2 linked regions of the Stegostoma tigrinum genome follow. The protein of the gene in region 1 binds, or shares a complex with, the protein of each later gene. Links are inferred from orthologs where the notes say so. Each region holds a gene or a part of one and is shown on either strand. Other genes may lie near its edges.

Region 1 (5,737 bases):
ATCACCCCTCGCTCTTCTAAACCTCAGTGGAAACAAGCCCAGACTGCCCAAACTTTCCTCATAAGACCACCCACTGATTTCAGATATCAATCGAGTGAAACTTCTCTGAACCACCTCCAAAACATTTACATCCTTCTTTAAATAAAAAAAACTAAAACTGCGCAGAGTATTCAAGACATAGTCACAACAATGTCCTGTATAACTGAATCACATCCTTACTTTAATATTAAATTCCTGTTGTAAGAAAAAGATAACATCCCACTAACCCTTTTAGAACACAGAACAGTACAGCAGAGGGACAGGCCCCTCGACCCACATGCTGTGCCAGACCTGATGCTAAATTAAACTAATCCCTTCTGCCTACCCATGGTCCATATCCCTCCATTCTTTGCATATTCATGTGCTTATCTAAAAGCCCCTTAAAACACCCCTACTGTATCTGCCTCCACCACTGTCCCTGGCAGAACGTTCCAGGCATATATTACACTGCAAAAAAAAACTTGCCCCTCAAATCTCCTTTGAAATTTCTCCCTCTTGTCTTAATTGCATGCCCTCTCATATTAGACATTTCAACTCTGGGAAAAAGATTCTGACTGTTAAACCTATTCATGCACAGCATAATTTTATATTCATCTATCAGGTCTCCCCTCAGCCTCCACCACTCCAGAAAAAACAACCCGAGTTTGTTCAGCATCTCCTTATAGCTCACACCATCTAATCTAAGCAATATCCTGCGAAACAGCACCCTCTGCAAAGCCTCACATTCTTTCTGTACTGTGACAACCAGAATTGAATGCAATACTCCAGGTGCAGGCTAACAAAGTTTTGCAAAGCTGCAACATGACATCCTAACTCTTGTACTCAATGTTCTGACCAATAAAACCAAGTATGTCATAAGCCTTCTTTACCACCCTATCTACTTGTGGGGCCACTTACAGGGAGCTATGAACTGGGACTCCAAGATCTCTCTGTACATCAATGCTGTTAAGGATCCTACCATTAACTACATACTTTCCCTGAAAATTTGATCTCCCAAAGTGCAATACTTCACACTTCCCTGGATTAAACCATCTATTTCCCCACCCATTTCTGCAACTGATCTATCTCCTGCAGTTTCCTCAGAGAACCTACTCCACTATCAACAACTCCCCCGATGTTTTATTTGCAAACTTATTAACCTAAGCACCTACGTTTTCAAAGTATACTTTGAAAGTATACTGAGCTATACTTATATATATCACAAACAGCAGAGGTCCCAGTACAGTTCCCTGCAGAACACCCACTAGTCAGACTTCTTGCCAGAAAAACAGCCTTCCACCACTGACTTGTGCATGGAAGACAAAGGGCAATTTGGAATCCAAATGGCCACATCGCTGTGGATCCTGTGCATCTTAATCTTCTGGATGAGCCTACCATGGGGAACCTTGTCAAAAGCCTTACTAAAATCCACATACATGACATCCACTGTTCTGCTCTACTGTCCCTAATTAGGCAAAATGCACCCAAATCCCATCCCTAAGGATCTTCTCCAACAGGTTGCCAACCACTAATGCGAGACTCACCAGTCTATAATTTCTTGGATTATCCCTACTTGAACAGAGGAACACTAACTACTGGCCAGTCCTCTTGATGACATACTGTACCTTAATACTATTTTTTTGTGACTCACTCACACTTACTAGAACACCTAAATCCCTCTACACCACGGACATCTGCAGTCATTCTCCAAATGATCAAAATTGATTTTTTTTCCCCATTCTTCCTGCCAAGGTGAAGCACTTCATACTTTCCCACATTATACTCCATGTGCCAGATTTTTGCCCACTCACTCATCTGTCTGTATCCATTTGAAAACTCTCTTTGTTCTCTTCACAACATACTTCCTATTTATATATTAACAGGAATTTAATTATCATGGCCCTTCACTCCCCTCATCTTAGTCACTGATGTAAAGTCTAAGAAGTTGAGGTCTCAGCACACACCCGTGGGGCTTCACTCGTCGTATCCTGCGATTAGACAAAAACCCATTCATAAATGCTCTTTCAAAAATCAGCCAGTTGATCCTCGATCCATGCTAATATGTTATCCCCTACACATAAGCTTTTGTTTTGTGCTTTGACCTGACATCTTTTCAGTTGTCTTCTGGAAATCTAACTATGTACATCGACAGGTTCCCATTTCTCCACAGCATGTTCCACCTTCAAAAGGATTCCAATAAATTAATCACTCACAATTTCCCTGTCATGAAAACAAAAAAGCCAACTCTTCCAGATTAGCTTGAGTTTAACACCCTCAAGCATATATTCCTGAGGTGATCAATTTTCACAACTGACATAACAAGTAACTCACGCATAGTTTCTAAATCAACCTGTTCAGATATGCTATTACAATCCTCTGGAGTAGGTGGGGCTTGAACGCAGGCCACTCAGATCCAGGGGTAGGGACATTACCACTACACCACAAGAAGGGTCCCAACCCGAAATATCAGCTTTCCTGCTCCTCTGATGCTGCCTGGCCTGCTATGTTCCTCCAGCTCCACACTATCTTTGACTCCAGCATCAGCACTTCTTACTTACCTTTAACCGATAGTTTCCTTCTCTACACCTCCGCCCCCCCCCATCCCCGCTTCCTAAATAATGGATTTATATTTGTTACTTTCCAGTCCAAATGAACCATTCCTGAATCTTGGAGTTTGTCAAAAGTTAACACAAACCATCCCCATACTCCATCTCTGTGCTACACTGGAATCTATTTCTCCCTCACCTCCACCTCATCCTAATGGACCGAGCTAACTTCATACATTTCTCTCTCTTAACTTCACCTCACCTCAGTTGACTTCTCTCCCTCTCCTTTTCTCTCTCTCTCTCAATATTATACAATAATATGACTGTCTACCTTTATATTGTTATATTTCTATATCTCACCTCCACCTCATCCCACACGGACCTCTCGTTCAGAGACGCCATTTTCCGTTCTGCTCTGTGTTTTCGATTCCTGTTCGCACTTTCACCGAACCGGGCTGCACCGTACATGTACAGGCCGATGCTCTCCGCCCTGATGCCGCTGCGATCGTCAATGGCAGTCTCACCCGCGCGACCGACGCCGGCCTCGCCACCTCCTTTTTTTTAAAAAAATTCAAAGGTTTGATCACAACTCCGCGTTGAATCTACCGTTCCCAGCAGTAATTGATTTTAACCTGAGTCCATCACGTGGGCCCCGAAAGTGCTGAGTGTTGTCGTGGTCGCCGCCATCTTTGTTTGGGGCAGCTGCGCGGGTCTTGCTGGGAGTCAAGCGTCCAAACAGACTGCTGCAGCAGTGATAATGGGAACTGCAGATGTTGCAGAATCCAAGACAATAAAATGTGAGGCTGGATGAACACAGCAGGCCCAGCAGCATCTTAGGAGCACAAAAGCTGACGTTTCGGGCCTAGACCCTTCATCAGAAATGGGGACGGGGTGAGGGTTCTGGAATAAATAGGGAGAGGGGGAGAGGGGAGGCGGACCGAAGATGGAGAGAAAAGAAGATAGGTAGAGAGGAGAGTATAGGTGGGGAGGGGATAGGTCAGTCCAGGGAAGACGGACAGGTCAAGGAGGTGGGATGAGGTTAGTAGGTAGGAGATGGAGTTGCGGCTTGGGGTGGGAGGAAAGGATGGGTGAGAGGAAGATCAGGTTAGGGAGGCAGAGACAGGTTGGACTGGTTTTGGGATGCAGTGGGTGGAGGGGAAGAGCTGGGCTGGTTGTGTGGTGCAGTGGGGGGAGGGGACGAACTGGGCTGGTTTAGGGATGCGGTGGGGGAAGGGGAGATTTTGAAGCTGGTGAAGTCCACATTGATACCATTGGGCTGCAGGGTTCCCAAGCGGAATATGAGTTGCTGTTCCTGCACCCTTCGGGTGACATCATTGTGGCACTGCAGGAGGCTCATGATGGACATGTCACCTAAAGAATGGAAGGGGGAGTGGAAATGGTTTGCGACTGGGAGGTGCAGTTGTTTATTGCGAACCGAGCGGAGGTGTTCTGCAAAGCGGTCCCCAAGCCTCCACTTGGTTTCCCCAATGTAGAGGAAGCCACACTGCTGCAGCAGGTTCCTGGGAGAATGCAGGCTGCGAAGTGTTGGCACTGTTGTAATGTAGGAAATCAGCAGCAGATTCAGCACAGCAAGATCCCAACACCAGCAATTACACATGATCTTATTAGCTACAGCATCTGCATATGGTGCTGGTGAGACCAATCCTGGGGTACTGAACCTTTTTGGTCCCCTTACTCAAGGGAAGTTGTGTGATTGGATGCAGTTCAGAGAACATTCACTGGGGTGATGCCTGGTATGGAGGATTGATGAGCAAATGCTAAACAGGTTTGAACTCTACTCACTAGCGTTTAGAAGAATAAGTGTACGATTCTTAAGGGGCTTGACAGGGTCAACGCTAAAAGGATATTTCCCTTCATGGGAGAGTCTAGGACCAGACAGCATAGTCTCAGAACCAAATTAACTTTGAGATGAGGAGCAAATGGTATATTTGATATGAGAATGGGTTATTGGCCTTGAAAAATATTAAATCAGCCAACCCTCCTTCGTTAAAAGATCAAAGAACGTTGATTTTATAGAGCTGGGTGTCTTACATTTTTGTAATGTTTTACAGAGATCCATTAAAAATAGGAACTGCGGTAGGCCATTCAGCCCCTTGAGCCTGCTCTGCCATGCATTAGGATGATGACTGATCTGACATTCCTCTCATCCACTTTCCTGTCTTTTCCCCATAACCCTTGATTCACCCCTACTGATCAAGAATCTATCTCAGCCTTTAATATACACAAGGACTGTACCCCCACAGCTCTCGGTGGCAAAAAGTTCTAAAGATACTCAACTGTCTGAGAAAATAATTTTTTCTTTATCTGTCTTAAATTGTTTTGTTCTGTCAAAGATCATAGAATCCCTACAGTGTGTAAACAGGCTCTTCAGCCCAACAAGTCCACACTGATACTTGGAGCATCCACTCAGACCCATGCTGCTATAATCCACCTAAGGTACACATACCTGAACGCTACAGGCAATTTAGCATGGCCAATCCACCTAATCTGCACATCTTTGAACTGTGGGAGGAAACTGGAGTACCTGGAGAAAACCCAAGCAGACACAGGGAGAATGTGTAAACCCCACACACTGTCACTGAGGGTGGAATTGAACCCAAGTCCCTAACACTGTGAGGCAGCAGAGCTAGCTGCTGAGCACCATGCTGCCCCACTGAGACTGTATCCACTTTGTGTTCTCAAACCTAAGGGACTGGTGTACGTGCGCACTGAAGTCCCTCTGATCCTCGGTGCTTGCTGGAGTCCTACCGGTTATCAAATCAGCCTATTTGACCAACCTGTCTATATCCTTCCGTAACTTACTATTTACCATCCAACCTATTTTCGTCTCATACATGAAATTATTGATCAATCCTGCTACATTCACATCTAAATCATTTATATAAACCACAAACATAAAGAGCCCCAACACTGATCACTGTGGGACCCTACTGGACTGCTTGGATCTGTGTGTGGAATGTGATTGCCTAGTGGACCACATTTGGTAAGCATTCCTCAACTGTCACCCTCTGCTTCCTGCCACTCATTTAACTTTGGATCCAATTTGCCAAATTTTCTTGATTCCCATGAGCTGTATCAGTCCCCATACAGGACCTTATCAAAAGCTTTACTGAAGTCCAAGTGAATGATATCAAAAGCATTGTTCTTATCTA
Region 2 (5,737 bases), on another chromosome or scaffold:
TTCGATATCGTTCGCCATGGGAAATACTGACAAGAAATGTTAGTTTCAGATCTCACCCATGGCCAACCTCACTGATCTTTAAAGGGCCCTATTGTCTCCCTAGTTTCTCTTTTGCCCTTAATATACTTGTACAAATTTTTCAGATTCTCTTCTACTTTATCTGCCGAAGCTCTCAGGTCCCCTTTTTGCCCTCCTGATCTCTTCTATACTCCCTATACTCAAGGAATTCACTTGATCCCAGCGACTATACCTGGCACATGCCTCCTCATTTTTCTTGTCCAGAGCCTCAATATCTCCAGTCAGAGTGTCCCTACTTCTACCAGCCTTGCCCTTCTCACTAAGAGGAACATGCTGGGCCTGAACTCTCATTATGTCTCTTCTGAAAGCTTCCCACTGGCCAGACATTCCTTTACTTGCCACCCCCAATCAACTTTTGAAAGTTACTGAAAATGCAATTATTCACCTTACTCCAATTTAGAACTTAAACTTATGCATTAGACCTGCCATTTTTCATTATTATTTGAATAATAATACAACGGTCACTGGTTGCAGAGTGCTCCCTCATGAACATCTCAGCCATTTCCCCAAGAGGAGGTTGAGTTTCACTCCTTCTCTAGTAGGGCCATCTATACATTGATTGAGAACGTTTTCCTGAACACTTCAGTTCCTCCCCATCCAAGCCCAAGGTTAACTCAATTAGCTGGACAGCTGGTCTGTAATGCAGAGTGATGCCAACAGCATGGATTCAACTCCCACACTGGCTAAGGTTACCATGAAGGATTCAGATTCTCAACCACTCTTCGCCTTAAGTATAGTAACCTTCAGGTTAAATAACCATCATCTCTCTCTAATGAGACAGCAGCCTTATTGTCTGATATGTTTATAACAGGTTTACTTTTTTTTAAAAAAAGGAGAGTCCTGCTATTCCTGGTAATGTGCTTCTATACTCATTGAAAAATCAGAAGAATGATAGGCAACCTTATTGAAATGTACAAATTTTCTAGGGGATTTGAAAGGGTAAATGTGGAAAAGTTGTTTTACTTCACAGGAGAGAATAGATCCAGGACCATAATCTCAGAGGTTGCACATTTAAGGCAGATAAGGAAGTTCCTTTGAGGGTAGCAAATCTGTGGATTTTTTAAAATTACAGAGGGCAGTCAAGGCTGGACCAAAGTCTATTCTAAGGTAAAATAGATTTATAATCAGTAAGGAAATTGAGGGGTATAGGAAAAGGTGGGAAAACAAAGTTGAGGATTGTCAGCTCAGCCATGATCTCACTGAATGGCAGAATAGATTCGATGGGCTACTTACGCCCTACTTCTGGTGCTTTGTCTTATGGTTTTAGACGAGACGAGAATTCTTTTCACTCAAGCTTGAGCGCCTTTGCATCACTTCCTGAAAGGATAGTGGAAGCAAAGTCCTTGACTATTTTAAAAGCAGAGGTTGACAGACTCTTGTCAAGCAAAGTCATAAATAAGGGTAGGCAGGAATGTCAAATTTGAGATTCTGACCAAATCAGCTGAGATCTTTCGGACGGCAGGGCAGGCCTGAGGGACTGAATGGCCTGCACTTGGGTCTAACTCATGTTCATATGCTAAGACAAAAGAAAAACATGAAATGCTCAAAATTCACAATATATCAGGTCACAACTTTAAATGAGAAATGCAATTAACATTTCAGGCCCTTAAACTTTAAAGTGCATGATGGCTAAAAACAAATTTGGTCTCCTCAGCACAGGCAGCATTTGCGACAAGAATTTCCAATAGCTAATTAACCCAGACATCAAGACCATCTGACCTCTGCAGCTTGACACATTACATGATGCATTAAGTCTGATCAACTAAATTGTTCAATGAATTTATGAGCAACAGAACAAGTTCGTTCAGCCACTTTTGCATTATTGCACGCAGTTCTGGTCTCCCTCCTAATAAGAAGGATATTGTGAAACTTAGAAAAGATTTACAAGGATTTTGCCAGAGTTGGAGGGTTTGAGCAAAAGGGAGAGGCTGAATAGGCAGGGGGCTATATTCCCTGAAGCGTCGAATGCCGAGGAGTGACCTTACACAGGCTTATAAAATCACAACGGGCATGGATAGGGTAAATAGACACGGTCATTGCCCTAGGGTGGGGGAGCTCAAAACTAGGTTTAAGGTGAGGGGGCAAGATATAAAAGGGATCTAAGAGGTAACTTTTTCCACAGAGAACAGTGCATGCTTGGAACAAGCTGCCAAAATGGAGGAGGCTGGTACTAATACAACTTTTAAAAAGGCAACTGAATGGGTATATGGAAAGGAAAGACTTAGAGGGATATGATCCAAATAGTGGCACATGCGAGTAGATTTATACAGGATATCTGGTCAGCATGGACAAGTTGGACTGAAGGGTCTGTTTTCATGTTATATATCTCTGACATTATGACTCTATGAAATGTGAAACTGTGAACATCCTGTCCCATGACTTTGTTTTGTACCTGGCAAAATTGGCAACTTTCCATAAGTAACAAAAACAAGGATATTTGTCATAAGCAATGTCTCCACCCCTAGCAATCACAAACAGCATACAATCTAACCCTGTTCCCCTTTCGTTTAAAGAAAAAGGCCACATACACACACAGTAATTTCAAGGGGGCAACCAGTACCCATGAAGTTTCAAACTACTGCACAGCTCAGAACGTTCTGAGGAAGTGTCACCAGACCTAAAGCATGAACTCTGTTCTTTTCTTCACAGATGCTGCCAGACCTGGTCTTTTCCAGCAACTTGTTTTTGTTCCTGATGTACAGCATCCGCTATTCTTCGGTTATTGTTTAGACAAAACTTTGGTTAGAAACTCCGTTCCAACTGAAACAACTACTACACCATCACCTGCAAATTCCATTCTCACACCAACAGTGTCCCCCCCTCCCCTCCAACTCCCGGTCCCCACCACTGTCTTCACCCAGCCTGCACGACACAAACTAGCCAACTCAACACCCTTTCTACAACCACCCTATCACATAAATAGCCAATTCACCAACCTCTGAACTCTCAACTCCCCATCCGCTCTAAATCCATACACCAACTATCACATTAAGAAAAATTAACCAACTCCTTCACATACGACCTCCAAACAAAAGACACCACCCAAAAAAATGTCCCCCTACACTCAACCCTACAACCCCATAACTCCTTACTTCATCCTCAAACATAAAGCCATTCCTACTCAAAATAATTTGTGATTTAAGCCCTTCTCTCGCGCCCCCCCCCCCCCCCCCCCCACTTCCTTACCCAGCCTCCAGCCTCCTTCCCAACGCATTCACGCACCCCCCCATCCCCCACAGCACCTCATCTCCCCACCGTAACCCCTTCAGTACACTAGACTACCCCTTCCCAATCCCGGCTTTGGGGGAGGAGTGTGAGGACGGGCTTGTTTCCTTACATCCTCCACGGTGCCGGCGGTGCGGTCCTTCCAGCAGAAGTGAATGAGAGAGTCATCAGTCTGCTGGATATAAACCTGCCCCTTGCGCTTGTCCGGAGTCACTGTCGAGCCTTTCAGCGACATCTTGCCGGCTCGGAACTCCACCAGGTATTTACTGGAAGAGCCACGGCTCCCAGCTACCAGGCTGGGGAACAACGCTCCTGAGGCCGACATGACGGAAAATTAGACCAGACACCGCTTCTGCCTCTTTTTCCCTTCCTTTCTTGAATTTAACGTCCACCGAAAGTCAGCACCATGTAACGGCCGCCACAACCTAACCTGAAACCACCCTCCTCAATCCCCATTGATTTACTCAGTCCCCGCCTAGCTTATTCTGGCTCCTGAATGGTTAACCCAACCGTCAATCATCATGACGTAAGCCATCCTTTGTCATGTTTGGTTGAGGCGCAGCTGAGCGGAAGTGCTGTGTCATTGGGCGCTATGTGCTGCCTCCTAAAGCTGTAGAGCGGTATTGCACTTCTCTGACATGTATAGAAGATCCCAGCTCCACTGTACTCAAGGGCTGGATATTTCATTCGCCAGCAGATCAGCTGCTTCAGTCTCAACGACGATATAGTCCTGGAGATAATGGGAACTGCAGATGTTGGAGAATCCAAGACAACAAAGTGTGGAGCTGGATGAACACAGCGGGCCAAGCAGCATCTCAGGAGCTGCTTAGCCTACTGCGTTCATTCAGCTCCACACTTTGTAATCAACGATATAGTACGATCTGCCTGTATAGCACATAAGACGACACTTTTCATTGTACTTTGGTGCACGTGACGGTAATAAATCAAATCAAACAAAGCCATATTCTAAGATAAAAAGGTGTGGAGATGGATAAACACAGCAGGCCAAGCAGCATCAGAGGAGCAAATTTCTGAAGAAGGGTCTAGGCCCAAAATGTCAGCCTTCCTGCTCCTCTGATGCTGCTTGGCCTGCCGTGTTCATCCAGCTCTACACGTAGTTATCTCAGATTCTCCAGCATCTGCAGTTCCTACTACCTTCACAGCCATATTCTAGCCTTAAGGCACAGGAACCAGACAAAAACACACTACAAAAACTAGTCCTTGCCAGTGTTTATACACCACATCGGCTCTGCCCAGCACATCTACACAGCAATGTTGGAGGATTCAACTGAGGTATTCAAAAGAGAATTGGATAATTGGTTGATTTAAAGTAATTTGCAGATCTACAGGGGAAGGGCTTAGGAACTACTCTTCCAGCAAGATGGTAAGCAGATAATGGATGTTGAATTGCCTCCTTTAACACAGTGCACACTTTTTGATTATATGATATTAGGGATGCCCATGACTAAGCAGCACAAAATGGCTGATGGCTGTCCATGGCTAATGCAGCAGAACATGGCTGACAGTAGTTGGAGGTCTTGGGAAAATATTTGCTTAATGTGGTCTTTGCAAGTGGAACAATAGTAGCTCTGTAGACTCATGATTACTGGACTCGGATAGAATATGCAGCTGCAGTTGCTCATGCACAAGACATAGAACGTTTCACACTAATTAGTTGTTTCTCTTGAATTATGAAATCATTCTGTGATAATACTAAGAGTAGGTTTTAGTTAAGATTCCTCAAATAATCATATAGATTCCAAAGCAATTATAGATTCACCTATCTACAAAAAAAAATCACTAAAAGCATTACAAGCTCCTAAGATGCTGCAAGACCAGCTGTGTTCATCCAGCTCAACACTTTGTTATCTAGAAGAAAAGATTCAAACAAGTTTCAGACAGTAAAGCAGCACCACCCCTCCACCCCCTCCCCATATCATTCCAGGGAGAAATGAATCAAAGGTACAGACATTAGCAGACACTGGAATGTGGATTGAATCAACACATTAAGACACAACTTGTTGGCTAAACAATTCTAATATTAGGTGTAACACATAACTTGGTTTGAAATGTTCAAAAATCAACATTCTTTTTATTTCCTGTAATGAGGAGCTTAAAAGCTCCTGAAGTGACAGGCAAATATCCAATTAATTGGCAGTTAACATGGAGCAGCTGGCAAATGTTACTTGAATACAACGTCCATTCTGAAAAGCTTCAAGAAGGAAGATAAAGTCTGGGAAACATCATGAAGGAGCGGGGGTGGACCACAAGCCTGTCCTTCTCTTTGTTACTCAGTGATCATACGACACCAGGTTATAGTCCAACAGGTTTATTCAAAAACGTAAGTTTTTGGAGTTCTTACTCCTTCTTCAGGTGTTAGTGAGAGAGGTAGTATCAGGCACGGAATTTATAAGTAAAAGATGAAAGGATCACA

The links.
Region 2: psmc3 (region 1) and adrm1 share a complex: the UniProt entries of both Homo sapiens proteins name them as parts of the 19S proteasome regulatory particle complex. The link is inferred for Stegostoma tigrinum from reciprocal best matches to the Homo sapiens genes PSMC3 and ADRM1.

What each region holds. Positions count from the first base shown.
Region 1 is NC_081370.1:11,567,513-11,573,249, forward strand, and holds the start of psmc3 (26S proteasome regulatory subunit 6A), read right to left. Parts: upstream 3,225-5,737; 5' UTR 3,033-3,224; coding exon 2,925-3,032; intron 1-2,924.
Region 2 is NC_081372.1:18,364,543-18,370,279, reverse strand, and holds the start of adrm1 (proteasomal ubiquitin receptor ADRM1), read right to left. Parts: upstream 3,763-5,737; 5' UTR 3,629-3,762; coding exon 3,416-3,628; intron 1-3,415. UniProt on the Homo sapiens protein: Component of the 26S proteasome, a multiprotein complex involved in the ATP-dependent degradation of ubiquitinated proteins.